Linked DNA regions of Arabidopsis thaliana. The protein of the gene in region 1 interacts with the protein of each later gene in a pairwise test. Each region holds a gene or a part of one and is shown in the gene's direction. Other genes may lie near its edges.

Region 1 (3,756 bases):
GATTTTAAAAAGGTTTTAAAATATTTACAAGGGATTTTAAAAAGGTTTTAAAAGAGTTACAAAAGATTTTAAAAGATTTACAATGGATTTTAAAGGGCATTAAAAGATTTACAATGTTTTTTTAAAGATTTTTAAAAGGTTTAAAATTGTTTTAAAAGGGTTTTAAATATTTACAAGGTATTTTAAAAAATTTACAAGGGATTTTAAAAGAGTTTTAAAATATTTACAAGGGATTTTAAAGGGTTTTAAAAGATTTACAAATGTTTTTGAAAGAGTTTTAAAGGGTTTAAAAATATTTTAAAGGATTTACAAGTGATTTTAAAAGGGTTTAAAAGTGTTTTAAAAGATTTACAAAGGATTTTAAAAGCATTTTAAAAGATGTACAAGAGTTTTTAAAAGATTTACAAGAAGACCCTTTAAAAACTCTTGTAAATCTTTTTAAAACCTTTTAAAATCCCTTGTAAATATTTTAAAACTCTTTTAAAATTCCTTGTAAATCTTTTAAACCCTTTTAAAATCCCTTGTAAATCTTTTAAAATCCCTTGTAAGTATTTTTAAATCCTTTTAAACATCTTGTAACTCTTTTAAAATCCCTTGTAAATCTATTTCCCGCCAAAAAAAATTTACAAGGATTTATAAAAGCATTTTTTGGCTCAGAAAAAAATTGTTACGAAAAAAAGTTGGCGGGAATTTTTTTTTTTTGGCGAGAAATTTTTTTTTGCGGGAAAAAAGTTTGGCGAAATTTTTTTTTTGGCGGGAAAATTTCAGTTTCCAATTACATGTTCCTATTTGATGAGGGTAATTTAATCATTATGTTCAAGGGAAAGAGTATTTTTAAAAATGAACAACATGAACGGGTATTGTTGCAAAAGGTAGTAGAAAAATGATAGTTTTGCAAATCTCCCATCTTTTTATCGTATTTGTTTGTTAAAATATTTACGGTTAATTTTTTTGCAGTTATATTTGTTCAACTACAGTCGTATCTTTTCAGTTTGCGGTTGTGTCTTTATTGTTGCATCTATTCATTTAAAGTTACGTCTCTTCATTAGATTTCTTTGCATTTTTTGTCACTATTTTCGGATAAACAAAGTTGTTTATTCAAAGTCGGTTGAACTCTATATTTGTCTTTCTTCCTAACCATATTTTTGTTCATTCACACATATTATTTGCTTAATGATCAATTCAAAAACATTAATCTGGAAAACGGCTCCACATTCTTTACTCTCTAAACTATTTATAAACATACTTACATACATCATTTTAATATGAAAATAATACCTCTAGTTCTTGATCTAACCAAAGTTTTTTGGAATCTAATAGCAATAACAATCTCAATAAATGTTTTTGCATTTCTAAACGGTTGCATTTTTTATCATAACTTTTCGTTAAAATATTTAATGTTTGTTTTACAGTCGTGTTTTTTTGTCGTATCTTTTCGTTAATATATTTATGGTTATTTTTGGTGGACAGTTATACTTATTCAACTTTAGTCGTATCTTTTCGATTCTGAACGGTTACGTCTTTTTATCGTAACTTTTCATTAATATTATTTACGATTACTTTTGCGGTTGTGTCTTCTTGTCGCATATTTTTGTTAAAATATTGCATATTTTGGGAAAATTTATGTAATAATTCAAATATTTGAATATATTTATATAATAATTAAATACATAAATACTAGGCCTGGGCATTCGGTTCTTCTGTTCTATAGCCTCTTAAGATCTACGAGGGAACCGAAAAAGTTTCGGTTTGGTTCAGATACTTAGAAAGAAAGCCGAGAAATTACCGAACTCTAATAGATACCGGTTTGGTTCCGGTTATTTTACCCAAAATACCAAAAAGAAAAAAAACGAAATAACCAAATATTCGATTAACAAAATTGTAAAATATTAAAAAATTAACAAAACTCTATTGGGTTATAGGTTTGTTAAAAATGTAGTGGGCTTAGATGTAGTTTTGTATAGGGTTGACCAAATATTTTTTGGTTAGATTTTGGATTTCCATAGATATTCGGTTTGTTCAGTTATACATAATATTCAATGGATAGTGTGACTGAAATCCGTTCGAGGATATTTAGTATTATCTAGAACCGAACCGGATTCCTTTTTCGGTTTGGCTTGGTTCGGTTCTTCGGTTCCGGTTTTTATGCCTAAGCCGTTCTAACTTCTATGGTTAATTGAAGAATGTGAAATGGTGGTTAATATTCAAGAAATTTTAGGAAGCCGAAGTACTAAATTTAGATACTGAAGAAAAGAAGAAGAAGCATAAGAAGAGGCCTAAATGCCCAGAGAATTAAACAAATGGGCCTTTAACAATATTTTTAACAATCAGATCTCAAAAAGCTAAAGCCTTAATATATAAACAAACATCAATCTCTGGCCGTCAAAGGTTACATCTATCGCCGCCGCTGAGACCGCCACTTAAGGCCGTCTCCTCCGCAATCTCCGTAACCAAAACCACCGGCATCGCCTGGTAAGCTCGATTTTGTAATCATTTCGATCTCATATGATGTCGATCTGTTAAATCTTGCGAAATCGATCTTTGTTTTGTTCTGAGATTTAGGGTTTCACGAATTTGTGTTCTAGGTTTTCTGGCTTAATCATTTCTATTGTTTTTTGTTCTTATTGGTTCTTATGCTTTTGGTGACACAAAGATCTCGACTTTTTCTTGACTCTCTATGCGAATTTGTCAAAAGTCAAAACTTTGTAACAGTTTACTCTCTTTCGTGCTTGTGTTTATGTATGAACAATAGCTTCGCTATTGGGATTGTTTATTTCACCACACTTGATTAATTATACATACTATTGAAAATGTTATCAATCTTGGCGATAAAAACCGTCATTTTCATGTGTCTTAGCTCTAGTAGCACCTTTTGTTTAGAGATCCTGAGTTTAAAGAAGCAGTAGCTAGCATCTTTGGTATAGTAAATTGTTTCACTGACAAATTGTATATCATTTGGTTATAACTAGATTAGTGAAATTTAATGGATGAGATTATGTAGCATTGTTTTAATTTTGTATGGAGAGAACTGGTGGTGGGCTTATTTCCAAAATTTTCCTTTGATTAAGTCAAGACCCTTTATTTTGAGAAGTGAGAGAGAGGATTGTCTGAGTATTGTCGCTTTCTCAAAATCTTTCCGGGGCTAAGCAGAGAAAAGCTGATAGTTAAGCTTAGGAATGTGATCTTGGTCTTTTAAGAATCTTGAAACTAGTGGGTAACTTGGATCCATCGAATTTGTTTTCCGTAGGTGAGTGTTCTTTAGCCTATTTCTGAGTCTGAATTATACAGTGTAGACATGAAAATAGGTTTTTATGTGATGGACTCTTTTGTTTTATGGTTTAATGGATATGTTGAGTTTTGTTTTTCCCATGAGTCTCTTATAAAGTTGGAATTTGATTCATGGAATCTTGGATCCAGATTACTTCGAATATATAAATGAAAGAACACTTAGATGTATCAAAGGGAACTTAAGCGTGTGTACTGTTTAGTGTCTCACAACTTGGAATTTGGATTAGCGCTTTCATGTTTTGGAGTTTGATTTATATTCGTGATGTTTGGATTTGGATAGTACCTTGGTCCATTGAACTATGTATCATAATAATGCTTTGGATATGGATATCGTTTTGATGACTTACTTGATAACTGCTCATACTTAAAAAACATTTGTTCTAGAAATCTAGATTCTCGTCTATGAGTGTTTATATGTTGAATTCATGTCGAAGTCATAGTTTAGAGATCTCATTGAGCATTTCCCCT
Region 2 (3,756 bases), on another chromosome or scaffold:
TTGTTTGTTAATATTTCAAATTACCTTTCCCTGCTCAGGCTCATGAACGTTCCAAAAAACGTATGTCTGAATCGTGTTCAAACCGCCTTGTTTCGCTCTCTTGATGATGTTTGGCCACATCTGAGCAAAACCCACATCACATATTCTCAAAAATGTAAGTAAAACAAAATTTAAAGATAAAACAACTTTAACTAACGAGTGTATGAATCATTTACTTCAGGAGTGCTACGAGGGTAATGTATGGAGCCAGAGTAAAGGAGTTCTCTATTTCCATTGATGATCAAAGACGTTCCATCATAAGTTACTTCTTTCTTTTTATCGACCGATTTCGTCTTCTTCTCTTTGTCATCGCTTGAGAGAGCTCCAGAGAAGGAGAGGAGAATCACGAGAACGGCTAGTAAAAGCCATGAATGATCAGAAGAATGTATTTTCATTTGACTATCTTCTTCTTCTTCTTCTTCTTCTTGAGGATTTTTAAATTTAAACAAGAATCCACCTAAAGGGATATCTTCCTTGTCAGAGAAATAAAAACTTTAGAGAAAGAAAATGAAATAAGAGAATGTTTCGCAGAGAACATAAGGTTTCAGAGAAATTCACGTATTCTCAATTTGAGATTCCACATTTTGTTTGTAAATAAAACTTCCAATAACTCTCCCTTTTATTTCCTTATTTCCTCCTTTCATTTTGTTTTCGTTGAATTTTCTAATTTTAAGGTTTTTGGTTGAAGAGCCTAATTTGGCGGGTATACACACAATGACTTCTCTCAATCACCACCAAAAAGAAATGTGAGCCAATGCTTATGTTGAGAAGGTGCGTATTACACCAAAAAAAAATGGTTCATACGAAACCAATGATTTTATTTTATTTTATTATGTTCATTATAAACACCACTTTTGGTTCTTCTTTAATTGTGGAAATGTGGATTAAATCCATGAGAGATCTAACAAAAATTTGTGTAACCTGTTATCTAGTTATTATTCTTTGTCTACAAGTTGAGTAAATTTTTTTGCTGTAATTTGGATTATCATCGTTTAAACCTTTAGCTTATTTCTAACTTTAAATATCATAACGGCAAAAATTGTAAAAGCTTTGGTATGCTTCTTTTACGTAAAATACATAAATGTGTTGACCGTGTGGTTGAAGATTGAAAGCAAAGCAAACAACATTTGTTACAAAAAAAATGGCTATTTTTTTAAGTAATCAATTAATCGTCTTTTAAAAAATCGAGACCAACTATTGTTGAGAATTATTTTCCTCCCGTAATCACCATCATAAAATATCGGTTGGGCAAATCACGTAGCATGCATGTACATTAACTTTGGACTAACAGCTGTGGAGTTTCTTCTTATAGCAATATTCAAAAGACCTAATAAGTCTGAAATAAACAGAGGCTTGAAGGTTATACTTAGATTGAAAGGCAATGATTTACATTTACATATATAGGTTGATCAATGACGATCTCTACGATATGTTGTGATATAAATCTTTAAAATAAGGAAATAATATATGCATCACTGATTTGTGGAGTGTTCCTCACTCGACGCCACTCTGATTTGTAAATTTTTTATTGTAAAATTTTAAAGTATGTAAATAGGGCCTATAATTTTTTTTCCTAATGATACATGGGCCTATAATCTTAAGAAACTTTTGAAATGGGTCCTATAAGTTTTCAATAACTATTTTACCTCATCAAATGTATGTTATGATTTATGATTATATTTGTTGAACATGATGCTCATCACCCATCACTTTGCTGGTCCAGTGAACGTGGACAATAAGATTAAGAACAAAGGATATTGTAATAACCATTCTTTATGTTAAGTTATTCTGATTCTCAGACTTTATCAAATCCCATTATAGACCGTTCAATAGATATGGTATATTACAGTAAGCATGTACGTAAGACCATCCACTTCAAGGCACGTCTCTCTTTCAGAATCAGAACAAAAGAATGGATCTTTCTCCATTACCTTTATGGGCAAAGCGGGCGGCTAAAAAGAGACTTTACAATGGTAAATCTTTACTTAAACAATGATAAATGCAATAGTGCAAGCATTCCTGTTTGCAAGAGAATCACAAATCTTTGCTTACGGTTCACGCTTTAAAAACACAACTCTCATTCTCCTTCTCTTCACAAACCACTCATATTTTTTTTCACATACTTCTTTGTAGTGCTACTTTCCATTATATCAAACACTCAGCAACCTGATGGCAACGAGACGGATATTGAAAGAATTGAAGGAGTTGCAAAGAGACCCTCCTGTATCATGCAGTGCAGGTAAAGGATCACAATTTGTTCTTAATACAATATAAGCCATGTATCAGAAATTTTTTCTAAAGATTTTGATATTTCCTTTCTCCTTGGTTTGGGATTTTTAGGTCCAACAGGAGAAGATATGTTCCACTGGCAAGCTACTATAATGGGTCCGAATGAAAGTCCTTACTCCGGAGGTGTTTTCCTTGTCAATATTCATTTCCCTCCTGATTATCCTTTTAAACCTCCCAAGGTAACAACTTTCTCAACAATTTTTTTGTTTTTTAATCTACTTCTTAAATCCAATAACCAAAAGGCACAAAACCAACATTAAATATTGGATCGTTTATGATCTTTTGGAACCTTAAGTTTTGATCTTTATTTTCAATCTTTTTCTTCTTCTTTACTCTTGTTGTTATGTTTGTTTGATAAAATCAGGTTGTATTCAGAACCAAAGTGTTTCACCCAAACATCAACAGTAATGGAAACATATGTTTGGACATTCTCAAAGACCAATGGAGCCCTGCCCTTACCATTTCTAAGGTTTGAAATTCTATATATGTATTTAGTTATTTGTCAATATTTTCTATAATTCCATATATCAGATTTGGTATATAACCAAGAAGCTCCAATAGGTAACACAAATTACTAACATTTTGGTATTATAGGTGCTTCTCTCTATATGCTCTCTTCTAACAGATCCAAACCCTGACGACCCTCTGGTGCCAGAGATAGCTCACATATACAAAACTGACAAGACCAAATATGAAGCCATGGCTCGAAGCTGGACCCAGAAGTATGCCTTGTTTTAAAGCTCACAATTCCTCTTTTTTTCCTTTTTATTTTGGTTTGGTCTTATTTGTAATAAAAAAAGAAGAAGAAGAAATTGTTATAATTTTAATACAAACATATATAATATATAAAGTAGAGTTTTCAAAGTTGTTAACTCATATGATTGATGAGATATCGACATGTATTAAATCTAATTTTGTTAATATATAAAAAATCTTCTAACCCTATCGGGAAAATAAAATATATACATAAATCACAAAAATTATTTATATAATCAAAAAATTTAATTATATTTTATATAATAAAATAATTCATATTATTAGCGAATTTGTTTTTTTTAAAGGACCGTTCAAATATGTTTTTTTGTGTATTTTGTCGAAATTTTTGTTATTTTTCTTTTTATTTTGTTAAAATAACTCTAAAATATAGATTTCAAACAACACATAAAATAGTGAGATGCATAGATAAAGGTTATAATGGGAAAACTCAATAGTATCAAAGATAAATGAGAATTAATTATAGTCATGTTTGTGTAAAAAATTTAGGACAAGTTACTAATATTTAAAGTTTAAGCCTAGTTATTTAGTAAACAACAAAAATAACTTACGTTATCTAACGATATTTTTGGAGAATAGATAGATTGAAATAAGAGTTAGAACACTAAATATTGAAAACGTGTGTGGGTTACTATTTAAAATTTAAATATCATA
Region 3 (3,756 bases), on another chromosome or scaffold:
GCTGAAACTCTCGGCGGCGCCGCCTCTTTCATATCTAATGTCTTAGATTCTTCCTCTGTCTCCTGCGATTTGGTCTCCAAAGTAGGACACGACTTCAGATACGAGGTCACCCACTCTCCGATCGTGGCTCCGGAGAAGGAAACAACAGTTTTCGAGGCGTATTTCGATCTGGGAATCGATGGGATCGGTCATGCTGATCGGGTGTTGAAAAGAGTCTCTGCATGTGATCCGATTCTTCCTTCGGATATACCCGATTCGAGATTTGATTTCGGAATGGCCGTTGGAGTCGGCGGCGAGATTTTACCGGAGACGCTTGAGAAAATGGTGGAGATCTGTGACGTTGTTGCTGTGGATATTCAAGCTTTGATTAGGGTTTTTGATCCTGTTGACGGAGCTGTGAAGCTTGTTGATTTGAAAGAAAGTGGATTTTATCACATCTTGCATCGAATTGGATTCTTGAAAGCTTCGTCAGACGAAGCTCTTTTCATGGATGTTGAACAAATGAAGCACTTGTGTTGTGTGGTGGTGACTAATGGTGAAAAAGGGTGTAGGATTTATCATAAGGATGATGAAATGACGGTTCCTCCGTTCTTGGCGAAGCAGGTGGATCCTACCGGTGCCGGAGACAGCTTTCTCGGAGGTTTGATTGTTGGGCTTGTTGAAGGTTTGACTGTTCCTGATGCTGCATTGTTAGGGAACCTCTTTGGTTCCATCACTGTAGAGCATATTGGTCAGCCAAAGTTCGATTTGATGATGCTTCAGGTTTGTTTTTTGGTCTCGTATTAGCTTACTGAATTGCATGCTGTGAGAGATTTGCAAATCTAATAGACAGTAGTAAGAACTTTTAGAGCCGATGATAGTGATATGCAAATGTCTTTAACATAATCCTAGCAAAAGAACTCTGTTACATCTTGCAGCTTACTTTCAATACAGCCAAACCTATATCTTGCGGGTGAACTAGAATCTGTATTTGATGTTGATAGGTTTCCAATCTGAAAATGTGTCAAATCTTCACAGTTGTTGTTTGAGATTCTGTCGAGTCACAGCTGCTGAGAGAGTCTTTTCTTGTTTTACTTCATTGTTAATCTAGGAGCAGTTTCATTCAACATAGGGTAGATGCAGGAAAAAGTGTTGTTTAAGCATTCACCGAACAATGTGGTTAAGCAATTAGAGAATTCAAAAGTATGGATCTCTTGATGTATTTGCGAGTGTTTCTGTGTATCTCTTGTAGTTGTATCTGTTGAAATGAGGGCGTTATTGGATAATAATTGAACCATTGGCTAGTGCAAGTGAACATTAAGCAAATTAGAAGATTTATAGCGTTTGTGTTTGCACTGCACAAGGATTCATCCCTTTCATCGGTTATTTCTATGTGACATATGTCTTTGTGATTTGCAGAAAGTCAAGGATGAGGTACAGAGAAGGAAGAAGCAGTGTAACATATCTAGCAGCCATAACAACGATCACAACGAGTTCCATGAGCGTCTAAGTCCAGCTCGGTTTTCATGCGTAGACTCTCAACTTCAACCAAAGTTATTGGTCAATGGTCACTCTTGTGATGATCGGTCCCTGTGAATACGAATCTTGAATCACCTTTTTTTTACTAACAAAGCTCTTCTGAGTTGTGTAAGCTTGCTTCAACACGTTGATGAATTTTGGAAATTTTAATGTATAAAACGCGTTGACCAGCGTCTTCAAACGCTCTTTCTGGTCGTTCCCGCAAAGTTTGTTTATCAACTCCGCGTTTCAAAATTCGAAATGAAGATGTCAAATTTTGTTTTAAAAGTTTTGGATAAGATGATTTGCTATTCGCATGTTGCCACATTATCTAGTTAATATAAAAACCAAAAACAAATCTGAGATAAAATTACGAAAGTCAACGTGGGAGATCTAATTTTGACTGGTGCATAGTTGAACCGGTTCAATATATGTACAATCAGGAGGAAACCGTGTTCGGTGTTTGATTCGTGCGCGTGGATTTAAAACGTGGTCACGATCAGGCGCGTGGATTGACGTGGCGATTCCGATTCCCAATCAAAAGTCTGGACGAGCAAAAAATTTCCTCTGATATTGGCATCTCCATTACTAACTCCTGATTTACGGTTAAAACGCCTCTTCCCTCTCTCCGACGCTTCTCGTCGGAAATCTGGGTTTAAGTTTCTTCTGCAGATCGGAAGAGATTCTATTGAAGCGGCGTTGACACGATTTCATCTATAATTGTACGATAATGAAGCAGAAGAACCAGCATAAGAAGAAGAAGAAGCGATCCTGCGCCGCGAAACCTTCCGGTGATGGAACGACGTCGGACGGGAACAAAAAAGATGTGGAGGAAGAGAGGAAGGACGGTGAAGGAAAGAGGGAGATAGAAAACGTTGGAAAAAATTTTATCGAATCGTTAATGGAAGCCTTTTGCTCGGTTTCAATGGAGGAAGCGATGGCTGCTTATAAGGAAGCAGGCGGAGATCTGAACAAAGCCGCTGAGATTTTATCGGATCTGGTGGAAAGCGGTGATGATCCGTCGACGAGTTCGGTGGCGAGTGGTTCTTCGGGTCAGGAAACAGCGTCTACCTCTGAGTATGGGGCAGGGTCAAGTTCTAGCTGTAGCGAAGATTTGACTAGAGATAGATGGTTTAAGGGAAGCAAGCAGAGTAGAGTTATTGCTGCTACAGGGATGGTTTCTTCTGTGATTGCGAAGGATTACTTGAAGCCAAACCCTGTGCGAAAAGAGTTTCCTATGATGGAACGGTCTAAAGAGCTCTGTGGGAACGGGAAAAAAGCTGCGGATAGAGAGAAAGCTGAACAGTTCTTAAGTTCAATGCTTGGAGATGATTGCGAGCTTAGCATGGCTGTTGTTAGAGATGTTTTGTGTGAGTATTTCTTCTTCTTAGTCAGTTAATTTTTCCATGGGAGAAGATGTTAGTAGAAAAGTATGATCCTTAATAGTTATAGGATTACGTTTTAATGTGTCCGCGATATTCGAAATATAGCCGTAATAATGTTATGAGGAGAGACTAGATTGTTCGATGAATTGACATGGAAGTATCTATTTTTTGTAGGTCAATGTGGCTATGATGTCGACATGGTAAGCAGAGATTGTCTTCAAACTTACATGGGGAAGTATTTAGTATATTGACAGGGAAGCTCCTGAAATATGCTGATACTTGCCCGACTATTTATTTTAAAGCTTAATAGCGTTTTCTTCTTAGGCTTTGAATGTCTTGCTTGACATGTCTTCTTCATCAACTGATGATTCATTGAGTGGTAAATGTTTCGGCATAGGAGTCAGCGATAGTGTAAGTGATTGTTTTTTTTGTTAATCTTCATAGATCTGTTTATTTTGTTTTCTTACACGATAAAATAAAGTGCAATCTCCTGACATTATTTAACAGCTGGCAGAGTCATCTTTTGATACTGATACTTCTGATTGTGAACTTTTCTGGGGTGGAGACTATAGTCAAAGGTACTTCTATTTGCTTCTTAGGCTTTCATCTTGTTATTGCAATTCACTGATTTTGGAATTATCAGAGTTGATTTACACGTTAGTTACAAGATAACGAGCTCTCTGCAACCTCTCCTTATCTTTTAATTAGTCCTTATCCTCTTCTATGAAAGAACAACAAACGAACTATTTCATGGTGGAGGATTCAGTTCATGAACACATGATATCTAAATTACTCATGAGACCGCCAAAACTTACATTATGATTTCTTAATTTCAACATTGTGGACGAGGTCAAAACTAAATATCTGGCCTTTT

What was found.
Region 2: the proteins of AT4G08460 (region 1) and UBC29 interact in a two-hybrid assay, tested with the Arabidopsis thaliana proteins (one large-scale study listed by BioGRID).
Region 3: the proteins of AT4G08460 (region 1) and AT5G58720 interact in a two-hybrid assay, tested with the Arabidopsis thaliana proteins (one large-scale study listed by BioGRID).

The regions. Positions count from the first base shown.
Region 1 is NC_003075.7:5,379,247-5,383,002, reverse strand, and holds the start of AT4G08460 (hypothetical protein (DUF1644)), read left to right. Parts: upstream 1-2,120; 5' UTR 2,121-2,472; intron 2,473-3,756.
Region 2 is NC_003071.7:7,265,672-7,269,427, forward strand, and holds UBC29 (ubiquitin-conjugating enzyme 29), read left to right. Parts: upstream 1-2,050; 5' UTR 2,051-2,208; coding exon 2,209-2,278; intron 2,279-2,379; coding exon 2,380-2,507; intron 2,508-2,692; coding exon 2,693-2,797; intron 2,798-2,922; coding exon 2,923-3,066; 3' UTR 3,067-3,384; downstream 3,385-3,756. Other genes in the region: AT2G16730 (glycosyl hydrolase family 35 protein), read right to left, coding at 25-120, 216-434. UniProt on the Arabidopsis thaliana protein: Accepts the ubiquitin from the E1 complex and catalyzes its covalent attachment to other proteins.
Region 3 is NC_003076.8:23,721,446-23,725,201, reverse strand, and holds the start of AT5G58720 (smr (Small MutS Related) domain-containing protein), read left to right. Parts: upstream 1-2,026; 5' UTR 2,027-2,227; coding exon 2,228-2,867; intron 2,868-3,056; coding exon 3,057-3,082; intron 3,083-3,206; coding exon 3,207-3,293; intron 3,294-3,389; coding exon 3,390-3,460; intron 3,461-3,756. Other genes in the region: Mik (pfkB-like carbohydrate kinase family protein), read left to right, coding at 1-762, 1,399-1,575.